Styela clava: one gene and its partner. The protein of the gene in region 2 interacts with the protein of the main gene of each other region in a pairwise test. Links are inferred from orthologs where the notes say so. Each region holds a gene or a part of one and is shown on either strand. Other genes may lie near its edges. The genes, in order: serine protease inhibitor Kazal-type 1-like and rab-like protein 6.

Evidence for each region.
Region 1: the proteins of rab-like protein 6 (region 2) and serine protease inhibitor Kazal-type 1-like interact in binary tests that used the Homo sapiens proteins (3 or more experiments, as listed by UniProt). The link is inferred for Styela clava from reciprocal best matches to the Homo sapiens genes RABL6 and SPINK7.

What each region holds. Positions count from the first base shown.
Region 1 is NC_135251.1:15,160,603-15,173,583, reverse strand, and holds serine protease inhibitor Kazal-type 1-like, read left to right. Parts: upstream 1-9,792; 5' UTR 9,793-9,840; coding exon 9,841-9,889; intron 9,890-10,153; coding exon 10,154-10,188; intron 10,189-10,657; coding exon 10,658-10,785; intron 10,786-12,266; coding exon 12,267-12,306; 3' UTR 12,307-12,419; downstream 12,420-12,981. UniProt on the Homo sapiens protein: Probable serine protease inhibitor.
Region 2 is NC_135254.1:11,567,551-11,580,396, reverse strand, and holds the start of rab-like protein 6, read right to left. Parts: upstream 6,790-12,846; 5' UTR 6,696-6,789; coding exon 6,569-6,695; intron 6,028-6,568; coding exon 5,893-6,027; intron 5,116-5,892; coding exon 5,068-5,115; intron 4,382-5,067; coding exon 4,332-4,381; intron 3,983-4,331; coding exon 3,857-3,982; intron 3,295-3,856; coding exon 3,188-3,294; intron 2,562-3,187; coding exon 2,456-2,561; intron 2,024-2,455; coding exon 1,932-2,023; intron 1,115-1,931; coding exon 937-1,114; intron 387-936; coding exon 236-386; intron 1-235. Other genes in the region: breast cancer anti-estrogen resistance protein 3 homolog, read right to left, coding at 10,583-10,737, 10,832-10,955, 11,601-11,809, 12,403-12,523. UniProt on the Homo sapiens protein: May enhance cellular proliferation. May reduce growth inhibitory activity of CDKN2A.

The DNA of each region.
Region 1 (12,981 bases), on a different chromosome or scaffold from region 2:
CTGCGAAAACGGAGTGCGAAGTAGTGCATCAACCTTATTCATTATGAGGTCTAAGGCTAAGAAATGCGAAGCCGGAAAGAAGTGAGGAGCTCAAAAGGAATGTGGAAAATCGAAAGCAAATGGACTAAAGGTCTCAACTGATTCAAATAGCGAAACAAGCGACAAAAACGAAGGCGAGGAAACTATCAACTCTTCAAGCAACCAACGAACGAGAAGGAATGCGTGAATATGTCAACACGTTGTTGTAAGAAACGTCGGCATTGTGTCGTCATAATTTCGGGGCTAGCCCCGATGATTTAGTAAAAGAAACAGAAAACAAACGAGACAAACGCGGCGAGTGGAAGATAAAAGAGAGAATACGATATGCAATAGGCAACCGGGGCAAAATCGGCGTCGCCCCGTCGACGTTCGGCGAAGGCTTTGCGAGCGAAAAATGAACCATGTCAGGAGAATATGGCTAGTGTAGACAGTCTGTGCAACCGATATTGAGGTATTTTTCGAATATTTTTTTAATATACCGAAAAAACAACCGGGGCATTGCCCCGGTTGGCCCTATTGACGCGCTGCCACTGGTCATCATACATTCTCGTTTTTCCGCTCAGTTTGCAATACTTGGCAAAGTCAAACTAATTATTCGGTAAAACTAAACAAGCAATAAACCCATGCTTCAATGTATTTTCTGCTTAAACGTTTACATAAGACACGTTAAATTTCAATCAATTGTTGTCGCTAAGGCGTTTGCAATTGCATTTTATTTAAATCTCCATTGTTTACGTCAGCGTGGCGTGTTATTTAAGCCCTAAAAATCTTGATTTCGGTGTTTATTCTTCCTAAATCCGAAATTTCCCTCGACATATTCTTGTGCCGCAAAGACGATTATAATTACTTTTTTTGTTCTCGAATGGAACCATGACACCTCTGAGGAAAACGAGTTAGTTTTTATTATAATCATCAGCCACGAGATGCTAAAGATATAATAAAGAAGTGAATCCGTAACTAAAAATTTCTTTATTGTAAAAGTGGCATTATAAAATACTAAAACTAAAACGGAAAACGAGTTTTGAGAATGAGTTTTGTTTTGGGGTGAACTGCGACAGATTAAAAACACTTTCTTACAAATCAAAACAAACTGCAATCGACATTTTTATGGTTGCGGATTACCGTGTTATTTTGGAGTACTGGTGCTTTTATTTTATCGACGCAATCGCAGATTTAATTTATCACAATTATATGAATAAAGCAACCATTTAAATAAGTATATCAATCATGGATTGAATATTTTGTTCAACAGAAAAACCATTACATATCCGTTGAAAAAGTCGGCTCTTATAACGGCTGGCGTAATCTCGAGGACTGACTCAGAAGCCGTACCGCGGGGATTTCGTTTCGATGAATATGTATTTTTCATCTACAAATATACTTAACATGTATTTTAATTGTACTAAATTGAATATACTTTCTGCGATATTATACCAGGTCTTCCTAATGACGACACGAATTCGCATGAGTGCAATGTATATAAAAACTAAATATAATCGGGCAGTTGATCACACTTTATTGTGTCCGCGGATTGGCGTGGTAATTTAGATATGTATGAGTTTATTTTGTCGTCAGTCGCCGCAACCGCGAGTTACCTTGAACACAAATGAACTAAAAAAAAGAGACAATTTGAATCATTGTAGTTATTACAAGACGGAAAAATTTATTATAACACGAAAAAGCCGGTATTTTTACCGAACGCGGAGACTGTTCAGGAGCCGTTACATGTAAATTTCCGATTCCATCTTGTGAGCAAAAAATATACAAATATCGCCAACTAAATATGCACATACAGCTAATGTAATATGTATATACAGTCAATTAATATACAAATACAGCCATTTTGGTGATGTACATACACAGCCAATGTCATGTGTATATACAGCCAATTAGATCACTCAATAGTCACATAAAGACAAGTGAAAGTGAAGCTCATACAAATGTCAATATCTTATGCATATGTAGCCAAATTAATATACATATACCGCCAATCGAGTAATGTTCATACACAACCATTGCAATATGCTCATATGGACTACATCAATGTCACAGGTATGTATAGTCAACTTCATGTACTTATGAAGGCATTCAAGAAATGTCATATGTATATACTATAAACTTAAAAGCCGTTTTGGAGTTACTGAGAGTCATTTTTAACGCACTCATTATATAAATATGACTTCCAAGCTGCGACTTTTAGATGTAACCACATCGGTACATAATATACAGCAGGTGCATGGATATGGAATGGATTGGCGGTGTATGTACATCCCTTAAATATACCTGCATATCTATATCGATTTGAGTATAAGTACATATGACATTCGTTGTATATGTACATTACATGAATGGCTTCATATGTATATTAATGGAAGTTTCTATCAATAAATGTAAAGTATATGTAATAAATTATTGTGATATCAGCATCATTTAGTGACAAGCCCCTACATGTTATTTGTGCGTAACGATGCGTACAATGTCAGTCGCACTCACTGAAAATTCTTTTATTTTTTTAGTGAACTATTGCCATTGGCTTTCAACTGTCTACAGACCAATCAGATTGAAATTTGCTGCAAACTATCATTACTCACGTTTCATATTGATTAGTCAAGAAAGCATCGCCAGATTATTTTTATAGGATAAGGCCATGTTCGTTGGGGTTCGTTGAAATGAGCATCACTCAACGGTAAGCCTTTACATGCTGGTTGCGCATAATAAGACACAAAGATGCCGGAGCACGTGATTATATTAATGTTAAGCTATCAGTTTGTTGAATAAAAAAAACGATTCAACTGAAAATGTCAATTTATATGCAAAGACCATTGTAGCAGAAAAATGTGGAAATACCATTAACATAAGAATAACATGGTAGTAATGCTGGAATAGGTTTTATACACACCAATCCTGACAACTAAAAATCAAGGAAATTTAGACATCGTAAAGCAATGATTATCAAGTTTTTGTGTTAAGACACCTTTGCAAAAAGACTCTGGGCATGCCACAGACCGTTGAAAACAAAATGATAGAGACACTGAAAACCAAGTTTAGAAAGCTTTATGGGACGCAAGGGCTCAGCAAAAACTTTCATTATAACAAATTGTATTTGAGACCCATGTGGGGCCAGATATTTCATCTAAATGCTAATGTCGTATTTATTTCAAATACTTTTATATGATGCAAGTGAATAGGTGATTCTACCACGCTTGTCCGTCGATCATTTATTAACAAACTCAGTGGTCAGCTAAGGCTTAATACGCAATCTTAATGTCAATATATTTTAGCATTGCTTCTCCATATTCATGATATACTGGCCGGGCCCAATCAAGTTAATTCTCATCCAGTTCAAGTCATTACTCATCTAATGCCAAGTCAGTATCTAGTTTGAACTCACTCTAACTATTGCCTAAAATAAGGCATAAATCTTTTAAAATATAATACCAACTGTTCACTCTCAATTTTTGATTTTTCAAGCCCAAAATTTAAAAAAAATGCGTACGAGTGAAATTGGTTAAATTAAACCTACTTCAATTTGAAAAGTTTGTGGAAAGTAACCAATATAGGAAGTTGGGCCACGGTGGGATATGGGGCACGGTGGGAAATCATTTCTTGCACTTATACTATATCCATAATCAGTCATTCGTTTAAAAGTTTGGCTGCGCCTTCCGGTGAGTTGCGACGTCCCCACAAACGAACAGCGGCCGTGCAGAGCGACGCAAGATATGAGTAGAATTGATTTTGGGAAGTGGAAACCAAAATATCGCCATCTTCGTCTTTTCTTATTCTACAGGGCAAACGACTGTCTGGCATATTTTAGCTTTCGGGCCATGGCCAAATTCAAAATATATATTCTTGATTCGAAATTTTTTTAAAGGGTATTCAAAATAGTATAGTGTTTGCTTTTGGTCGAAATTGGACATTTTACTTGTTAATATATAACTTTGGATTTTGTTGTTTTATTGAACACATTGATCATTACAGTATTTGAAAATATATACTTCCGCTTTTTGATCAAAAGCCGTATGTGATGTTTATGGATTTTTTAACAAAGAACTCTCATTATCTAGAATGAAAGTTACAGAACTCAGTTTCAATTGAAATTAGACATAAACCGGAAGTGAAACAATAAATCTTTTTCAGATTTAAATATAAGAATCTAAAATATTCATCTAGTAATTCTATAAAAACTCTTTAGATACGCATGTCTCCAAGATAGTTGTATGTTGCCAATGTGAGAAATATTTTTGAAAGACGATCTAAAATAATTCAGTTGAAAATTAATTTCAATGATGATGATGATTCGTTGAATATAAAAATGCCTCATTGTGTCCCAGGGTGTGTTCGAATTCACCCTACCAACGCAATGGGACTGAAGAGCGATTTTCAGCCAGCACATTTTTCGTGTTTTCGATGATCAGCTGTTGTGGGGTATTATGACATCATAGATTTGGCGCCTATTGTATATCTCTGAAGAACTAAGTTGGCGCCTATCTCTTTGGAGTTTTACGCTTTTTGATGCGCTAATTATATGAACGACCGGTAATGTGCATATAATTCGTAGATGCAACCGCATAGGGTTTTGTTTTTTTATCAATTCTAAAAAAAACATCGTGTTTTGAAACAAAGGCTTGTTTTGAATCAAATTTTTTCTGTATTTTTTGTATTTTTTTATTGAAATACCCCTTGCATCGCCGCGAAACTACGCCAAAACGTTGCATTCTGGCAGCTGCACACACGCAGCCGGAATTATAATTTCAAAAATGTAAGTAAAATTTTTTAATTTGACTTTTACTTCTATTGCGTACATATATCGCCACGTTTGTATCTCCACCGAAGTCATAAGATTATACCCGGAATGTACAGCCGAGATATCAGAAAGACGTTTTTGAGTAAGAAAAATCACGAAAATTAGCTCACGAGCCCACTACAAAAGCAATTAGATCAAGTGCAGCCCTTCGGCAAAACGAGTGGGTTGCGATAATGAAGAATATGCTTGTATCGGCGGAAATCTACTAATATAAATGACGAGACACCCTAGCCTAGCCTATGCTAATTGTAGGAGTCCTCTGATGCAAAGACGCCATAACTAATCTGTTACGACGCCATAATATGGATTTCGAGTTCATGTATTGACATTTTTTTCATAAAATAAAGGCATTATTACGGTTAAAACTGTTCGGTTAATTTATGCTTAGCCTGCTTTGTTTTTAAGGTTGAAGTGATAGAGTTTTTCAAGGTTATACAAACTCATTTATTCGATCGCATTTCAATTTTCGCAAGGGGGTTTCATCGCAGCAGGGTCGTTCACTTAATGGCTTATCGATTGCGTCTTAATGCGCCAACCACTGAACTACAGCTTGAGAAGGTATACATGAGCCTCTATCGATATTTGTGGCGTTTTGAAAGATTTATTGCAAATAAGAAGCGCTTCGCAAGTTTTTACGTCCATTTTTATTCAACCTATTTAATACAAATAAATCAAATAGTACAGCCATTTTGAACAAAACAGGCAAAAAAACTTGATTCGAAACAATTTTTTAAAAAAAAGTTTTAAAGTTTTTTTTTTCAAAAGTTTTAAAACAATTCTTTTTGAACAAATCCCTACTGAACCGCATATACATGAATTGGATTCTTACGAAAGGATCTGGCAGTATTTTTACATCACCATAATGGCTGTATTTGTATATTGATTTGGCTATATATGCATGCGACTTGGCAGTATTTGTACATCACCTTAATGGCTGTATTTGTACATTGAGTTGGCTATATATGCATATGACTTGGTAGTATATGTATATTTGGTTGGCTGTATATGTATATGAGTTGGCGGTATATGCATAGGACTTGGTAGTATATGTATGGCACGTTACCAACCCTATCGCACCGCGTTGATCCCCGACAATTTAAGAAATATGTCCAAAAGACTGGCAGTTAAAACATTTTGGTGGTGGGGGATAGTATACTCGTAACTGCAAATCTCAAGTACCCTACACGTACGACTAAATGCAGCGGCGGGTAGTATCGGAAAACGGATAAACTCGGAGTTGTTTCAGTATTATTTGTATTTCGTACTTTAAACACTTTGCCTTGACGTGCTGTTCGCCTAGGAAGTATGATATGTCAATCGACACTCGACATATTACACCTTTCGACTGAACGTTTGTTTGTTTATATTCTTCCGCTTTTAATAGAAATTTTCGCGTCACCCAGTTGTATGCAACTTGACAGTTTCATCATTTGAGATTTACCACAAGAATCCACCAATAGTTCCCCACTAACCAAAACTTTCACTTGTTCACGTAACCTTTATTAACTACATTAGGTTTATATGTCTTTATTGGACGGTCAACACCTGACACCACGACACGGACTTTCCACCTTTGTCGTTTTTGGTAATGCAACATTTCTCAATTTGATTGAAAACCTAATTTCATTCTCGCCCCGACATTTTTTTGTTTGTTCTTCAATTTCATACATATCCCACTTTACAGGCCGCAGCGATAAAATAAGTGAAATTTTAAGTTTTCCAATAAGAAATAGGAATAAATACAACTCACAATTCTCCTTGTAGAATATGGGTAGTATATGGCTATGAAGTAATTCCCGACTTCGTCAGAAGTCCTCACGCAATCGCAGTCGAAACAACAGTGGTCTTACTTGCTTGAAACTATTTTAAGTAACACCCACACGATTAACATGGCAAAGAAGTCCCTTGTCGATGATAGTAGGTATAGTAGATAAAACTGTACATACGTACATGTTAGAAATAAAATATCAATTAAAATATAGAATTAATACTCGTAAAAATGTACGTATGTTGTGTCTACATAGTAGCAGTGTTCACTAATGTGTAAATTGTTGAATTATGTTTGTCAGAAGGATTCTGACTTGAGTCGGTGAAACGTTTCAGAAATACATTTGTGTTAGTGTACAACAAGACTATTGAATCAATCATATACAATTTAGATGAAAGAGTTACGAGTATTTATAGCAGACATGGAGATCATATATATACCAAATGTCAGCCTTGAAATTACAGTGCAGAAAGAATAGAGTTTCGGAGACTTTATATATGTCATTGTATATATATGTTTCAAATCAAGTACAAAACGATTTAAAGTTAAACGATGAAAAAGTGAGTAAACCTCGTCAGAAAGGGAATATAGAAGTAAACTTGCGTCAACTACTTGAAACGAAATTTCATAACATGTTTCATTGCTAATATGGACGCCAAGCTAAGATTGGACCCTAATTGGGTAAAGTTGTTTTTCTGTTTCATGAATAAATGGTATTGTTGTATGCGTACATCTAGTATGTGCTCAGTGAGTTCACCTGATACAGGGATTACAACTGATGAAAGTATAATGCGTGATGAAAAAACAACAAGCAAAAATGTAAAACAATTTCAGATTCAATTATCTGTGCATTTTTAGGGATTTAATAGTTTATTGGGGTTCGGAACGGTAGTTCAGATCAACACGCAAGATGTGCCAACTAATGCCAAGATGCCAACTAATACTTACTTCCTCAACTCGATTTAGTGTTGATATATTGGAAAAGCAAGTTAACAAAATGTATGATATTGAAGCTTTTCCGTGAAACATATCTTAGTTGCACGTTTTGAAATAGCATTGGGAAAAAGTGAAACAAAAACTACCCAAAATACTTTACCCAATGCACGCACTGTTTTAGAGCAAACGTTTTGCTCAACGTTCTGATTCGTTTATAGTTTTTTCTTGCTGAAGGATAATGTTATTTCCTCACCACACCATACCTTGCTTTATGGAATTTCTTTCTTTGGACCTATTCTCCGGTTTCATAGCATTGACGTAGTGACTGATTTTCAAGAAATGCATTCTTACTAGACACCGGTTTCATAAAATTACAATTTTGAGTTAATTAAGTAGGTTTTTAAAAAGTGGAGGTTTAGTTGATAAACTCAGTCACGACGGCCATATAATGGTATATGAACTGTCAGTATTTATGACAAACTTAACCAGAAGCTAAGATTGAATTGATGAAAAGGACCCATTTCATTATTCGTATTTTAAATAAATATTGTGAAAATAGTGACATAGATACGCTGTGGTGGTTACGATCAAACCTGAACATTTTTAAACGGCTGATAATGGGGAGTCCCTTTCGGGCCGACAACTGGCCATACATATTCAGAATCGTAATGAATTGAAATGCCTAACAGACGTTTGATAATACTAACCTACGATATCAAGCTATATTTGAAACAGTAAATAAATATTACCGATGACGTATTAAGGTCCAGGTGTTATATACCAATATAATCCCATGACGCACTTATTCGAATTTGTATCTGAACGACTTTTGTTAGAATGGCATGCCTCGTTCGTTAATTTTCGATTTTACTCTTCAGTGTAGTATGACAAGTGAAGCAAATCAAATTATCGACAGCGCATAGCTGGTCCACTTTCTCGGTGGGTGTTCGGTGCACATGACCTTACAACTACAACTACAACTACAACGAGTAATAATTTGCAGTGCTGTTAGAAGTGGGTTATCACGGAAACGATGAAACTGATTTTGAATATATATATTTTTTCAAAATTTTTGACGTCACTATTTACATAAAGTCGATTTAGTTTTCTACTTACGAGACTTGTATGTGCTTTCAAAAACCGCCTCAACAAAATACGAGGGCAGTTAGAAAACAATCATTGATGACGTGTACTGAGAACTTGGTTCAAAACTTTTATTGAGTTTATACTGACAGTCGTGCAATTTATTTTCTCGTATATTTAGTCAAGGTACGATGCTATCAAGTTACATTGGTATGGAAACCAACTTTGATCTGGAATGATTTATGCAGTTCATGTTTTCATCAATCATAGAATAAGGTGCCGTTGAATATTTGAATGAGAAAGTAGTAACGAGGGGACGAAATGTATAATGAAGATGTTCTGGAAAGATTAATAGTTAAACTGAATATAGCGATGAATATCTTGCAGCACTGAATATCAGTAACACTTCATAGGAGTTGTGCCGTCATCCTTGGATGACTTGACAGTACATATTGGTAAATTTTTTCTAGTGAATGATACCAGGTAAACGTGGAATACCAATAATCGTTTTGTGTTTCGATAAAGCAGTCTACCAAATTTTTATCCATTCAACAATATTATGCAACAAGTATTTCAACCCCGGTTTGCAATCTGCAACCATATCTAATTATACATGATATTATTACTTATCGATTTTTTACTTATCGATTTTATTACTTATCGATTTTAATCGTTACTTATCGATTTTAATCGAAAGTAATAGCCTTCTGGCGACAACAACAAGCTTTACCACTGAAGATTTCAAAGCAAATGGTCCGATAGTTGATGAGCAAAGCGATTTTTTTTTCACAATACCAACATTCTAACAAAACTATCTATAGGTCCACTTCGTGTCCAACAAGGAGCGCACTAAATACCCCAACCTAATGAAAATTTGTCATAAACGGACGTCATAAACGGATCATATTAATTTGCGGTCGATTTCTACAGGGTTGATTTATAAAAAATTAGTCTCGCAAACGAAGTCTATTTCATATGAACGGTAAAAACTGAAAATTTTATAGAATAAAATTCATCACAAAACTTTTTCAGTGATAACCCACCGCTAAGACAAGGAAAAGTTGAGACCAACACAAACAAATTTGCGTCCTTTATAATGTATATGCTAATTCCACAACCCTTCAAGACACAGGTCATATTCCTTAATATAACTATAAAGATAAAATATTTTAATTACAGGTTTAACATTTTCCATAGCCTAATTAGAAAAATGTGGAAAGCCACGCTCTTCCTGTTGGTGTGTTTGTCAGCGATGGTGTGTAAGTCATTTATTACTATTTATAATTATTGTAAACGGTACACAACCGAGTAGATTCAAAACTATTCCATGAACCGTTGAAGCATCATGTCGGCGGTATTGCATTTGCCTATTGATCAGAATAAAATTAATATATATAGTATAATAAATTTATCTCAAGGGAAAATAATTTGCACATACTAAAAAAATGACAAACCTAGATCTCCGGCCCACCGGTTCACAGTTTATGCAGTATATATCAAAACTGCAATTATGTTTTATACAGTGCTATGTACAGCGAATGAAGAACGCGAGGCAGATGTGAGTAATTTTCAACTTACGTTTAATAACAAATTTAGTATGCACTTTGGATTTAATGTAGAGGAAAATAATTGATTCTAACTATATCGCTTAGTTCACAGATGATAAAGATGTTCAATAAATAAAGAAGTTGAACAATAATGCCTATATATATAAACAATATAGTCGTACACTGTTTTGAACCCTGAAGAAAATTTACTTGGCCTGGTTTAAATATATATAATAAATAGCCTACTAGCTTATTTGGATGTAATGTGTGTATTAAAAATAATAAAATACACAATGCCGTTATTAGAAACATGTGTCAAAATAGTAAAAAGTATCATCATCATCGATGTATATGCACGAAATGCATCACCTATTAGGAAAATACATTTCATCTGAAAGTCTAGTTCATAAAGTTTGGAGACCGTGAGTTACAGTTAAAATATGTTGGAGCAAGCAATAACATTTTCGTTTTACACCCTAGTTGAAATGTTCAGAAAGAGAGTCCAATGGCATTTGTCCAATGATCCTATCTCCAGTGTGTGGAAGTGACGGTGTGACATACGCCAACAAATGCTCACTGTGTGAAAGGAATGCTAAGCAACCAAGAGGGTAAGTATATTTTTGGGACATTGTTTCGGGACGTTTAGCAGGGCAGGAAGGCATACTTGAAACTTTCCTCCACAATGAATCACCCTGCAGATGCGATTTCGATATATATATACTAAATGTGCTTTTCCTTATTCGTACGAAATATATATATATATATATGTAGATGTAATCATGTTGAAATAAGTGTCAAACGAATGCAAAAATAATAGAAATAGCCCCGACTCCAGATCAATACTCCGATAAAATTAAACTATGTTAACAAAAACTTTGGCGTATTCAAGAATTCTTTCATAGAGTTGAAAGAAGGCGTAGTAAACCTAATCCTTCTTGAATTCTCATATCACGATAGAAAATCTGAAATTCCAGCCCCGACGATTTCAGAAATTCGACTCCGATGAATGAACTCCAGGCTTCAGTGAGATATGCCAAACTCCGACTCCACAGTCTCTGTTAGGGTGATTACAAGTCTGGATTTAAACAATGAGACGCCCTAGGCCTAGGCTATGCCATTTGTGGTGCCCTTCTTTATCAATGACGTAATAAATATTTTATCATGACGTGCACCGTAGATTTATTTAAAAGGTTTAATCCGTGAAATACCAACATTCAATACGGGAAGGATTGTGCACTAATCCCCAAGTAGATTGAATAGTAATTTGCATTTAAAAACACTCGAAGAAACTAGAGGCTGTAATAAAACGTCATGGCACCGGAAATCCCAGCGTCATAAGACCCGTGTCTAGTCGAGATGGATAGTAGGCGGGTGTAGCCCAAATACTGATAAATAAAGGTACATTCCATTTTGTGAAAAAACGGGTCTAAGATAATATTAAAAAATCCATAATAGTAAATATATATAATTGTCGAATTCATTGTTGCTTAGATAATTTAGTATATTATATGTAACGATATTTTTTTAAATAAGGCATTATTAGGTTAAAAACTGCTCAAGTAATGTAAATTAGCATATTTTGTTTTTAATATGGAAGAAGTAGAGTATCATAAATTAAGACAAATTCATTTATTCGACCGTAACCTTTTAAATTGTATATATTTGGGACAATAAATATTAACCCGATAAAACAAATATCAGTTCTATTATGAAAAGAGCCTTAAAAATTGACCTAATAATCGAATAATAGGTTAAAATTGAAAGCCGATGCACAAAGACGTCACCCTGCGTTGCCTAATGGCAAATCCGGCCTTGTAAAAACGCAACACCATAGCGCCTCGCGGCACATTTGTTAATTCCGATGTCTTCTCAAATCAAGATGTTTCATCGAATCTGAGCCCTTTTTCATTGATGAAACACTCAACGTCTTCGTTAGACGCCGTTTCTACCTGTAAGTTCCTTGCTCGACTTTTATTAAATCTAGAGAAGCGGACTCGCTGTGGACAAATTTCTACGCTTGTGTCGTTCCCGTTTTCAGGGCTGATTTTTCATATAAATTTGCGTTCTCAAACTGCTTTTATTTTGACAGGACTGCAAAAGTAACACTGCGACACTCTGGCGAATGTTAATTGAAGATTCCTCTCGAACAACTGTGATCAAAGGGCATATATTTACAACTTAATTCTTCAGCGAGCGGTGTAACGATAATAAAAAATTGGGTGTAAATAAGTTATTTTCCATATGTCGATCTACTGTTTTGTCGTTTTAATGTTCCCCGGGGACAGCGGATTCATTCAAGTCCGCCAATACCAACTTAAGCCTAATCCATAATTTAAATCTTACAATGAAGTTGAATTGAAGCACACCACAACACTAAGTCCGCCCCACCAAAGTCTGGACTAGCATTTAAATTGCCAGATAGCAATCCTGATTTGGTGCTACGTAGCATTGTGCGTTGCCCACAAAACCTGAGTACTAGTCGCCAACCGCTCATGCTTGAAAATGGCCAAGAAGACTGTGGCATGTCGTGTTGGAGTATCTTAAAATTTTGCTTTGAAGCAAAAAGCATAGAGAAGACAATATAAATAATATAGAGACACAATAGTGTCATCCTGGTGGGAATTTGATGAATACTTGCAATGCAAGATGAATTAACAAAATATATTATATTCAAGAAAAGATACAGCGGCCGAAAACATGACGGTCAAAAATAAGTGCATAGCTAAAAAAATGAAAGGACAAACGACATTTAAAATTCCAGCAATCTAGAAGCTATACTCCCTCTAGAATATGTTCCAAATAAG
Region 2 (12,846 bases):
ATGTTACAAAAGCAACAGTGGAAAACAATAAACCTCGTGCCAAAACTAAATTTAACCGCAATCCCAACAAATTCCTTGAGCTATTTTTAACTAAAACATTAAAATTTGGTTACAGTTTGGTTGTGGCAGCATCAAGCCAGATTGAATTAACTGGCAGGCCGAATTTGGCTTGCAGGCCGTACTTGTCCATGTCTGTTTTGAACACTTGAAGGGAAAAAATGATTAAAAAACTCACGTCTAAAAAATCGAGACATAAATCCTTTCTTCTCAGCAACTTCTTTTGTTTGAATTTGTGATGGAGTTTGACTTTCCATTTGTGAGGGGGAGAATAATCCACTATCCCCAGAAGGACCAGGACTATCATTTTTTGCTGCATTAACATTTTCCTATGAATATAAAGAAGAGAAATACTGGATTCTGACAACAATATAAAAATGACTAGAATATCACCCATGGGAAAAGCTAGAGAAAACTTGAATTTATCATAATATTTAAGAATATCGACCCGCTGGCCAAATGCGACAGCGACACACAAGTAAAAATAAAGCGGCCCGCAAAGAAGTGCCAATTTTAAATGGTGCGAGGCCTGTGAAACAACTTTTTAATTTAGTTTAATCTGGTATGTGCAAGTATTTCCAATCCCTTTTCGTTGCAAATCCTATACCTGTGTCCAAATTATTATCTATACCTATCTATGATGTTACAATGCCTTAACAGCTAGCTTGTGCAAAGCGAACAATACATCTCATAAGATCGATAGCTATAAAAAAAATTGTGTGCAACTACTAGAAAGCCTATGTTAAATAAAGGTGCGGCCAACGGTTTCATCCAGTTATTTGTGTCTGGCTCTTGTAGTAAAGGTTGCACACCCATACTCTGACTAATAGGCGAATACATTTATCATTAGAAAGACTAATTTATCAATATCATTCATACTTGAACGGGCTTTGAGGATGGAGAAGGTGCTTGGTCTGGTGGTTGAGATTGATTCTTTGGTGTTGATGATTCCTCTTTGCTATTGGCAGGTAGTTTCTCATTACTTGTACCAGGTTCTGTTGGGGTCGACGGCGTTGATTGAACTTTAGTTTTTTTGTCACCTAACCTTTGTACAAACCTGCAAATTGAAAAAGTTTTATTAAAGATATTTGCATTTTGATAGATTGTTGTCCTTATTGGTGGCTGCCTGGTCAGGACCTTGTTCAGAGAGAATGATGTGAAAACATGTTGCATAAAAAATAACAATAAGGAAAATAGTAGAATAGCTCAATCAAATGAAGACAAACGGAGAAATATCAATGGAAAATTTCACAGTGATAAAAATAGCAAAGTTACTGATCTTCCACAGTAATCAAGTTAATTTTAATGATTATGGAATACTCCACCAATGACAGATATATCCAAAAAAATACAGAATTCAAACAATCACCCAAATATCATTCATGTAACACATTCCTCATACAAAATATGGCATTGATTTAGGTGAGGAACTGAGGAATTGATTTCAGCAAAGTGGCCAACAACGAGGTCTCAAAATCAATAGATATAAAAAATAAATGCAGACCAATCCTATTAATGGCAATTGCACTCCCCCATGACATTTTATTGATTTTAAAAAAAAAAAAGTCAAGCTGAAAATTATCTAGTAATTGGTTATCATGTTATGTGAATAGGTGCCTTTATTCGGTTAAGAAAGTTAGACAAATTTGAACAGATTTAAACATTTGCATACATACATACATAACGTTACACCAACATAATTTATTACGTGGACGTGGCCTAAGAATAATGCACCACCAAAGTGCTTTAGGCAGCCACTGTTTGGTTCAATAGAAATTCAAGTGAAAGAGGAATTTTAATTCAATAAACTTTAAATAGGTTATTAATCTTGATCATATTTCCAACTCTAAGACTATAATTAATAATCAACATACATGTCATATCCATGTTCTTCTGTGCTCAATTCCTCAATACAAGATTCTAAATCTAGATGATTTGTTTCGAGTTGCTTCAACAAACTTTCACGCTGAGAAAATAAAACTATTTCATTTTTACCATTGTAAATTTTTTCAAATGAGACTGAAAGTATGAAATATATAACAATACTACAAATAGACAAAAATTTGATTTTTATAGCTGAACATTACATTATATTTCATTGCATGTTTTAACTGTTTCGTTCTAGATTGTATTTTACTTAGATTGCTTAACTTGGTTAGTCTTGTACTATAGTTAATATCTCATGTCAATTGATTTAAATATTAGCATGATTTATTTATTTGGAGCCTACAAAAGCAATCTCTAACAATTCAAAACAAAGTTTCAAAAGGTTTTTGGACAAGATCACAAAATATAATCAATAAGAAGAATTATCAAACTCTGAATAATTGAGACATTGATGAAATCTAAATTTCTAATCAGTGTGAAACAACTTAAAACGATCATTGAAAATTATTACCTGAACTAATAAGAAAGGCATGTTAAAAAACTTGTGAACATATTTGAGACCAAACCCATTCCTCATTGAACTTTCATAAAACATCACCGATGCAGAACCATGAGGCCTGATAAAACACAATAAAGAGATTAATACTTTACGAAACCGCTTTATAACTATCATGTAAAACTTACAACGCAGACTCATACATGTATTATACATTGGCAGGCAATACTAACACATTACACATTTCATCTTTTTTTTTACTATTTTTATATAGTTATCTTCCATTTCAAATTGCAATACCAGCCTAATAAATAGATGGACTGGAATTAGGCTGATAAAAAAGAGTGTCAAGTGTACCTACAGTCCTACACTGTAAATAAAATGAAAGACTTTGATTGATGGATGGACTAGACAGGTCCAAAAGATCATTTCCTAACTGTTATTATTTGAGGTCTTTTGGAATCTTTGCAAATTTTTGAATGATATTTTACTTCGATAACCTTTGTTTGTATACAACCTACTAAAACTATATACGGAAAGCAGCAACATTGTACTTTCAAGATACTTTTGGATTTCTGCAGTGTTCACAGACAACAGTTTTTTCAATGTCTGATCTTTTTACATTAGCAATAATTTTGAATTTTTATAGAGGTGAATTCTACAGACAATTCTAGCCCGTTTCAACTTTCAATGTTCTTCAAGACTAAAAGAAATCTGTGAGAAGGTGGGATGATATTTTGCACCTACCTCTCAATTGACTCTATTAGAACCTCAATTTCGTAAATTGTTATGACTCTGTGATGTCCCATATCTCGAAAATTAGCCAAGACTAATACTGGAATATGATTTGGTACCTGGAAATAAAACAATTGATAAAAGAGCAGGCAAGAACATAATACAACGAAAATATCCTGATGCAATGTAAAGATCGAAAAATCTATTGTTTCATTTTTTTCTTTTCTTGAGCAAGATATCTTTTTTATCATATAGAATGCAAGAAAGTGAACAATGAACATATACATAATGCCATGTTAAGATTTTATTGGTGTGAAACATGTATTCATCATCATGTTGAAAGTCTAATAGTTTGAGCAAAATGCCATAATCCTGAAAGCAACAATTCACTATAATATCGACCATAACTACCGGTAATTACAGATGTGTATAAGAAATATGAATATGCATTTCTTTTTAGACAAATCCAGATTCTTCAAAAAAAAAAATATAACTTATGCCATGTCCAAAATATTTCACCAAATAAACAAACGAAGCAGTCCATTGATAAGTCTCCAGAATGATATATGGGAAATGAATACAAATAAACAGAAATAAACTGCAATTGGCTATTATGGGAAATATTGAATACAGAAATATGAAAGTTTTCAAGTTTTATATTTTACCAATAAATCAACACACCTTTGGCAGTTCCTTCTCTATATAAGCAAAAGTCCATCTTTTAGTGATGTCAAATGTCATTATAACAGCGTGGGTATGCTTGTAAACATCAAGAAAACTTGCATCGAGTGCTGGATCTTCCTCATCCTGGAAAATTCAAATAGTATTTCAACACAAAATAATACCAGGATAATTATGTAAATATTTATTTCAAGGCTATTTGGGTCATTGTATGAATATTGCCTGAGATGAGTCTAATATGAACATTGAGATATTAAAAAAGTTTAAAAGAAACCTATGGAATTTTGTTTTAAATTTATGTATAGAAAACTCAAATTACTCAGTTTGTTTTATTGAGGTCTCCAGTCTCTCACCACTACGTACTCATTTGTATAATGAATCACTAAATTAGAAAATGGAGAGAATTGTGATAAATGGCAAATGTTTGACTTCCTCTTTCAAACAATATAAATTACATAATCACGAATGAACATACTTCTTCGTTACTCAACTTCAATCCTTTCGATTCTTTTCTCTTGGATTTTCCTGAATGTATAAAAAAAATTCTGATTTGAAATTAGGAAGAATAAGTTGACAGTTCAAACCAGTAAGGAATAAGATGCAGGAGACAAAAACAACAAGACAGATGGTAACATGGCAGTTCGATAACTCTTGTTTGAATTATTGTAGTGTTGAAGGTAAATAACTCTGGTTACTCATGTACACTATGAAGAAACAGATAATTGCATACCTATGTTGATGAAAAATAAACAAAATGCATTCGTTCAAAGTTTTAATGTAATTATAATATTAAACGTAATTGCAGTATTGCAAAAATCTTGTAAGTGTTTAATAAGTATACATGTCAATAGCAAACAATGCATTCTTATGAAAAACTTTGGTACACCCCTACTTGATTGGAAGTTACATAAATATTTGCAGAATCAAACATTTTAATTTATATGCAAATACCATGGTCGAATGATCATGGAGGAAGCTGATAGCCATTAAAACTATTATATATAAGCTATTTTGGGAACTATAATCAAACGAAATCGTGGTCAAAACAAGCCGCCATAAGACAGCTTTGTTTTGAAATTGAGTCAACTAACCTCATTTGTCAAGGGAATAAGTGAAGCTTGAAATTACGCTACATTAATTCTAGCAGTGGAGGAGTCCATATAGATAAGGCAACATGAGTTTGTTCATATATCAGCAGTATATTTACTCACCTTGATCAACAACATCCCAGACATCCACTTTAACAACATCATCTGTAGCTAAAATATGTAAAACAAAATTCAAATAATTTTAGGATTGGTTAAGACTGGATACCAATTACCAGATTTGTCACTTGTCTTGGGCCTTGTTCAGAGTGAAAAATGAGTAACAAGATCACATGAAAAATTGATTTGAATTTCTAAAACATAATCTATTGCTCAAGAACAAAAATTATAATAGTTTCGAGTATTGTAATAATTGATTATTAAACAATAATTCAAGTGTTTAAAAAGCATGGACATTTTATTAATAACATTGTAATCTTAATATGCTGTTGGAATCTGTTTCTGAATATAAATAATTGTTTATTCATTGTTTGGTAACAATTAATTTCAAACCAATTTATTTATCGCCATATTTTAACTGCATGATTGCTCTTTTCTTGTCATTGTTGTAAACTGCTTGTCTGAGGAAGTCTGATTTTGGTCAGACAAACATTACAGAAATACATTAATGTTATTGTGCAGCAGGGCTCTTGAATTGCATATTATGGTATTTTATTCCTGTTACAGCATCCTTGCATTACATGCATACAGATCCACTAGTGCAAAGGCATTAAGAAAGGATTGGGAGTTAGTCTCGTGCACCTCTACTGATCGTTATCTTAGTTGCAACTTGCAATATACTCAAAAAAAAACATCACACCCAAGAGTTGAGCTTTTCATAAAATTTGCAAGACTAATTGAAAAATTACAAAACATTCTGGTTACACTACATCAAGTAACTGGTTAAGTTTTCTCAAAAATAATCATGAATTTTAGGACAATATGAAATACCTTTGTAATCCCACTGTATCGATGCAACTTGGATCTCTGCAGTTGGTAAATATTCTTCAACAAATTTGAGTCCCCTTAGCCTGTGCCATAAACATGTTTTTCCTGTATTTCTTTCCCCTCGAATGACAATTTTCACTGAAAATGTATATGAAAAAATTTAAAAACAATTCAAATCTCTTGGAGCCAGTAAAATTTACACTTATATTAATCTTAGTTCGACCCTTTCACTCATTAAAAAACATTCCTGCTGGTCACGTAAAATCGATAATATTGATTAATTAAATAGGATTTTTTGTCTGAAAAAGTTTGACTATGATCTAACGAAAGCTCAAAAATATAGTTGCCATTTCATGAAGAGATTATGTTTTTCTTATTTATCACTGTAATTAATAATAATACTTCGTTAAAATGGCACCCTTGTGGTAAATAATACATAGGAATCTACAAACAAGGATAAAGGATCTGCAGTTCAATACACGATTATCCAGTAAACAGTATTGATTTATCACTAAGAAAATAATCAGTTATTTCTTCATAGCACTAGCAGATCACTTCTACTGATGTTGTTGTTTAGGATATGGTTGACCGCTCTCAATCAATACAAATTTTGTCGTCTTCATAACAGATATGGTATAACCAAAAATATGAAAAATATGACTCCGTTGTCGAGACTCACAATTATATTGTACGCCCTTAGCGAATTTTCTCTGCAGATCACCCTTCATCATTTGCATGCCAGATGGTGGCGCAACCTTTTGTTGTGCATCATCATTTTTGACCCACTTCTTGAATGATTGAAACATATCGAATTCAGGACTTGCTCCGTACCAGAGTACCGAGTACCATTACCTATCGGATTCAATATGTTCTGCAGTTTTAAAAAAATACTATTTACAGATTTACTGGATCACTGGCCAAATATTTTACAAAATTAGACTAGCGAGTCATACATCTACAAGTAGTCTATAGCAGGACTTCCCAAACTAGGGGCCGCGACCCTGGACGGGGCCGCGAAACTAATTCTAGGGGCCGCAAAGAAGCACCAATTTTACACAAAGTACTATATCTATTGCACTTTTTCAGACTCTTAATTTGAAATACAATCATTAAAAATAGTGTAAAACGATAAATTCACGATTCCAAGTGAATATACATCATCACACCGTGTTTTCCCGAAAATAAGACATTGTCATCAATTTTCTTTTGAACATTGGAGCTCATTTTAGGGGGATGTAGAGAATAACGAGATTAATATACGAAATATGAATACCGAAATATGATACAAATTTAATAGCACGTTTCCATTAAAAATAGCGGCTACATATAGATTATTAACAATTTAAAAAGTAGATTTCTTTCAACTATAGGACATAGTAGTTTTCGAACTTAATTGTATTGTGACGACCTCCAGAAATATGCTCAAGTTGCGACTTCCCGTGAAAAATACCGTACGTATTGATACATTTCAATATAATACCTTTTTTGCATTGAGTTTTATATAAACGGACGAACAAAATCTAACAACAGTCAGTGAAATCAAATTCAATGGGCCATGGTAGAAAAGCCGGGTCTCATGTAGTTTCTTACCCAACATACTTCTAGTGGGTGTAGCATGACAATTTTTTCATGTATCAATCCCAACCCCCACCTGACTACACCATCCAAAAATTACGTCATTACGACGTCACAGTGACGTAATAGAGCCCTTCAAACTATACGAACTGCCATCCAAGACGCGCAAACGAGCATCCGAAGTCGAACAGTTAGTTCTCTCGTTTTCTCGTCGCAACAATTCCAATAGGAGAGAGACCGATAACGTCAGTCAGTTCTTTATCGTCGACGCCAATGCCATTTCGGTCGATCGTGCGTATATTTGGCAAGCTCTATGACGTGATTGTGATGTCGTAGTGATTTAATTTTTGGATGGCGTAATCAGATGGGGGTTAGGATTGACATATCAAAAAATTGTTATGCTACGACCACTAGAAGTACGTTAGGTACGAAACTACAGGAGACCCGAAAAGCCTGCTTAATATAAATACGAAATCGCAAAGGAGATGTGGTGCGCAAAAAATGCACTTTATGAACCAAATTATGGTATTTACTATTTATAAGAGCATAATGAAAAACAACAATAAGCCTTGTGTCAAAATTGGAAATATTGTCATTTGTCAAGCAAACTAGGAAAAGCTGAATAATCAAAATTTAGGAATCATTTTACTACAAAAATTGTCAGAAAAGATTTTATATGATCAGATGATTGGTATCGGTACCGGTACGGTACCGGTATCGGCGATTAGATTTGATGAAATTTATCAAGCTTGATAATTGTATGTGAAGCCAAATCTGCATGTACCTGTACCGGTATACCAGTATACAGAAAAAACATATACCGGTATCGGTATTATATTCGCTGTGCCAGCATATGGACTTTTGGAAACCTGGCTTCACTCAGCAAAGTGTAAAAGTCTTATCATGTCCGTTGTCAGTTTCATGGATACCATTTTTCTATTTCCAAACAGTCACTATAATAATCTATCTGGAAGTTTAACGATAGCTACGGTATCGGGCCGGTACCGATTTTGTTTTTATGGCAATAAATCTCTCCCTCTCTACCGTACCGGTATCAGCTGTTTGCGCCTTTCACATCCCTACATTACCGTACCTGGGCATACGATATAGTAAGAGTCAAGAGCCGGTACAAATCTAGAAAGCAGAAACCCACATCACCACTATTCAGCTTTAATGAACTGTAACGCTGGTACACTTTGGTAGCTTGGCACCGATAGGTGGTGATAGGTAATGTAGTAGTAGATACGGAACCGGTACATATATATTTACGTATATATTTACGGTCAAACTGGAATCGATTCCTCCTTTCCTATATTCGATACAAGACAGAAATCCGAACGCGTTGACGGTCATTGCTAACATTTTCTAAATAAACAGAGAGACAAATTTGAAATTTCCCCTGGAAAATACATTTTCTGCAAAAATGACTGGCGTCTATTACAATATTACTTGCCAAGTAATTATATGAATATTGTATTTTTCGGTTTGATCGTAGTAATATATATTTACGGTTTGATAAATCAAACTCTCTTGTGCGTAAAAAACAAAGTGTCTGAGCGGCTGCAATATTATAATTGTTACGTCTTCGTTAACATTTCTCTGATTGGTCATTGTTACGAAATAAAACACGGAAATTGTTGCTGGGGGCAATATCCATTCCATACGCTGGAGCGCACCACGCTGGCACATTCACTTACTTCGGGTCCAGTCATTGACGACTTTAACAAGGTATGTTAAGGTATCAATGGTCCAGTGGAAACTCCCCACTAATGATTTTCTCCGTTTTTCAAATTTATGTGAAACTGTGCAGCGGATAAAAATCCTGGGTCCATAGGTAGGCACTGATGTGAGTGGGAATGCAATGATTACTTTTTGTGGCAATTTTTACATGTCAGGCCGGATACTAGTGCAAGAGGACGCAAATTGATTTGGCCGATTTATCATATAATATTCAGATTGAGGATAGTTCTTATTGACAGTTATGGCGCATCGTGCTAAACATTAGGAAATTACTTGCCACCTCACTTCTGATTACACTGCGCGGGTCCGAATCCCGGATTGGTTGGCTCACCTTCGACAGGTGGTTCATAGTATCGCTGGTCAGACATAGACTGGTAATCAGACGAAAGGCTATGGCATGCCATTTGATTAAGCAGTCTCATCTAATTTCCTTTCCTCCACATAAATATGAAAATACTTCCCACATTCAGTATATCGAAAGTGTACAGATCCCCAATATGCTTTACCCATCACTGCAGAATCCAAGCTCATTGCAGATTTAACCATGCGCAATATAAGCAACACTGCTAATTTCAGTATGAAAGGGGTTATGGCAATTGGCTAAGTATACCACCCTTGTATAAAGCCAACATTAGTATCATTTTAAAAGATCAACAGTCAATTTCACAATGAATTGTATTATTGATTACTAATTATATGAGTTGCGTTAGAGAATAGTTAGATGCATTAAGTAAATAGCTTTTTAGAAATACAATTAAAAAACTTTCATTATTATATTATACATATCTTGGTAAGTGCAAGATTAGAGATTTCACACACTACATGTAAAAAGTACAAAAATATAAATGATTGGATTGGCAGCATATTAATATGAACATCTCTAAGTACCACGCAATGAACCGTGAATTAAAGCATTTTACCATAATCAGAATTAAGATTCAAATGAGCACAATGATAACCGATAAAATTTAGAAAAATAGTAAGAATATATGAATTCAAAAATGCTAAAAATTCCATTTTAAGATAAATCAAATCGCAATAGTTCCCAAACATAAAGATTGACCGTTATATCTCAAATTTACATAGTATTATATAAAGCACAATGGATATTGAAAATTTTTTAAATGACCTATTTAATCAAATGAAAATTAAATACCAGTTGACAGTATCAGTACAAAAATATCACATTGGTGGAACATTTTAAAAGGACTATTTTCTGCAATGACACAATATTTTCATTATTTTGGCATATACAGGCAGCCCCTTATTGTGGCTCTGCATTCTATGCAGAAATTGCTGCTGTGAATTACATTGAGCATTAATTAATTCATAGAAAATGTGGCAAAAGTTTTATTTTTTAAGACTTATTAGTAACAGATTAATCCACAATATGCCTTAACATTGCAGTTATAATTCTATCAAATTTATGGAAGCGATCACGTCTTGGAGACTCTGCACTTTTGAAACCAAATAACATCCTCATTTGAAAGTCGGTCGTAAACATTTCCCGAACTTTTTCAGTCTCAACAAAATCTGTGAAAACATTTTAATAATGGTGATAAAGTTGACAGACAAAAAAAATCACAAGCAGCAGTTTTGGTAATAAATGATAATCATTATTATATACCTATCAGTTTTGAATTGGCATTTTTCTTGCAATTTTCTACATTTTGTAAGATGGATCGACCAGAAATAAGATGTGATAGCAGAGAATCAAAACTTTCATCAGGAATATTTTCCCACCAGTCAGTCTGAAAAGAAATGCATTGCTTGAGAAATTATCAGAATATCGAGAATCATTATTGACAACAGAAAAAAAGAATTCATGCCTGACGTTCAGCTGTTCCAATAATGTAATACTTTTGGTCATTACCTATATATTGTTATCACTACATTGAACTAAAAAGCAATTGTACTTTATATGGCCTATTCTATACAGAAAAATCCCACAGTTGGCTCAAATTGGAGGAATATCATTGTCTATTCAAGCAACTAAAGCCATTGAAAATCATAATTACCATAATAATACGAATGCCATCATCCAATTGCCCAATACGCAATTATAGAGCATATCCTTTAGAAAATATCCCATTACTTTTTCTCACAGATAAACTTGAGAATAAATATAAAATTTAGTTTGCAGTTTTTTAAACCAATAAAAATCGTCGACAATTATCACAAGAATAGGAATGTCAATGCATATCTCACGAGTCACGACACATACTACAAATAACAGACTGGTCAAAAAAAATGCCACTTTCAATATTCTATTTACTTAGCATAAGTTAGATACAAAGCATAAATGCATTGGCATGGTCCAAAAGAATGAATATTCAAATGTCATGAAGATGACATATTTGCAATGCCACAAGCAGATGTAAGATTACTCAATTCACCCTATCTCCATCTTTTTCAGTGCTGTGTAAGCTCAGTGAATCTTCTTTTCCAATTGAACTTGTAGGTGAGATTCGATCCAACAATGAACCAAACGAAGCAAATTTTTTGGACATTGATTCACCTGAACCTAAGTGAGGAACTCCAGGTCCTGGATTCTCCAAAAGTCTGATCAGCGGCATAATGTGAGGTATGCATGTGGTGGACAAACCTTAAAATATTTAATAATTAACATTTAGCATCAGTGAGAAGATATTCCATAGGAGGAAATAGTTTGCCTAAGAGGAGACAAAGTATGACTGCCAAAGATATTAATAAAGGCAGAGGTGAACGACGATCAATATAATATGCACGATGCACTGTATGTAGAGGGTGCAGGTTCAGGGTATTACAATAAAAAAATATATATTCAAGAGAAAAGAGAAGATATGAATACAAAAATAGAGGAGGGTATCTTTATAACCATAGTCATTAGTTTGAAATTGGGGGTTGGTATGTTTTTATTGATATTAGAGCTGGAGTCACATTTTCATACTTTATGGAACTGTTTTTCCATGCTCCACTGGAGTCTGAAGAAACATAATTTTTGACTTCTAATGGTGTTGAGCGAAGTTGAAATTTGTAAAGTGACTGGGCATTCTCAACAGACAATTAAATAGGGCCAAAGTTTATTGGTTCAGAATTCGGCTCAACCGCAGTCTGGAGTTAATTTATAAACGAACTGGGGTTTGAAGCTTAAGTCTGGTGTAAATTTTCTTAGAGTTCGCAGGACTGTTTGAAACAACAACTTCTATGAACACTCACGAATTTGTCCTTTGCCCTCATCCAAGAGACGCAACAATGGCCTCAACTTTTTATCAAATGTGACCGCATTGTTTGTGAACTTAGCACGCAGTGATACCCAAGATGTTTCTAATGATGAAATCTGTTTAATCAATAATATAATAACTTCATAAAAAATTGAATTTTATAATCAAAATGGCTCTATCATAGCTTTCCATGTAAGCTCGAACTCCCATCTCAGACTATCACACCAAATCAAGCCATAATGTAAATTCGTGTGCTTCTGTTGGGGAATTCACATCATATTTTAATCCCAAAGCAATGCAGTTGAGTATTGACTGAAGGCATTGGTCAAACAAAGGTATCAGAAATGCAGAAAGTATGTGATTCGGTCACTACTGAGAGCAAATCGACTCACTATAATCCCGAATGCACAATATATTGAGCTGGAGAGATGGAGTTACA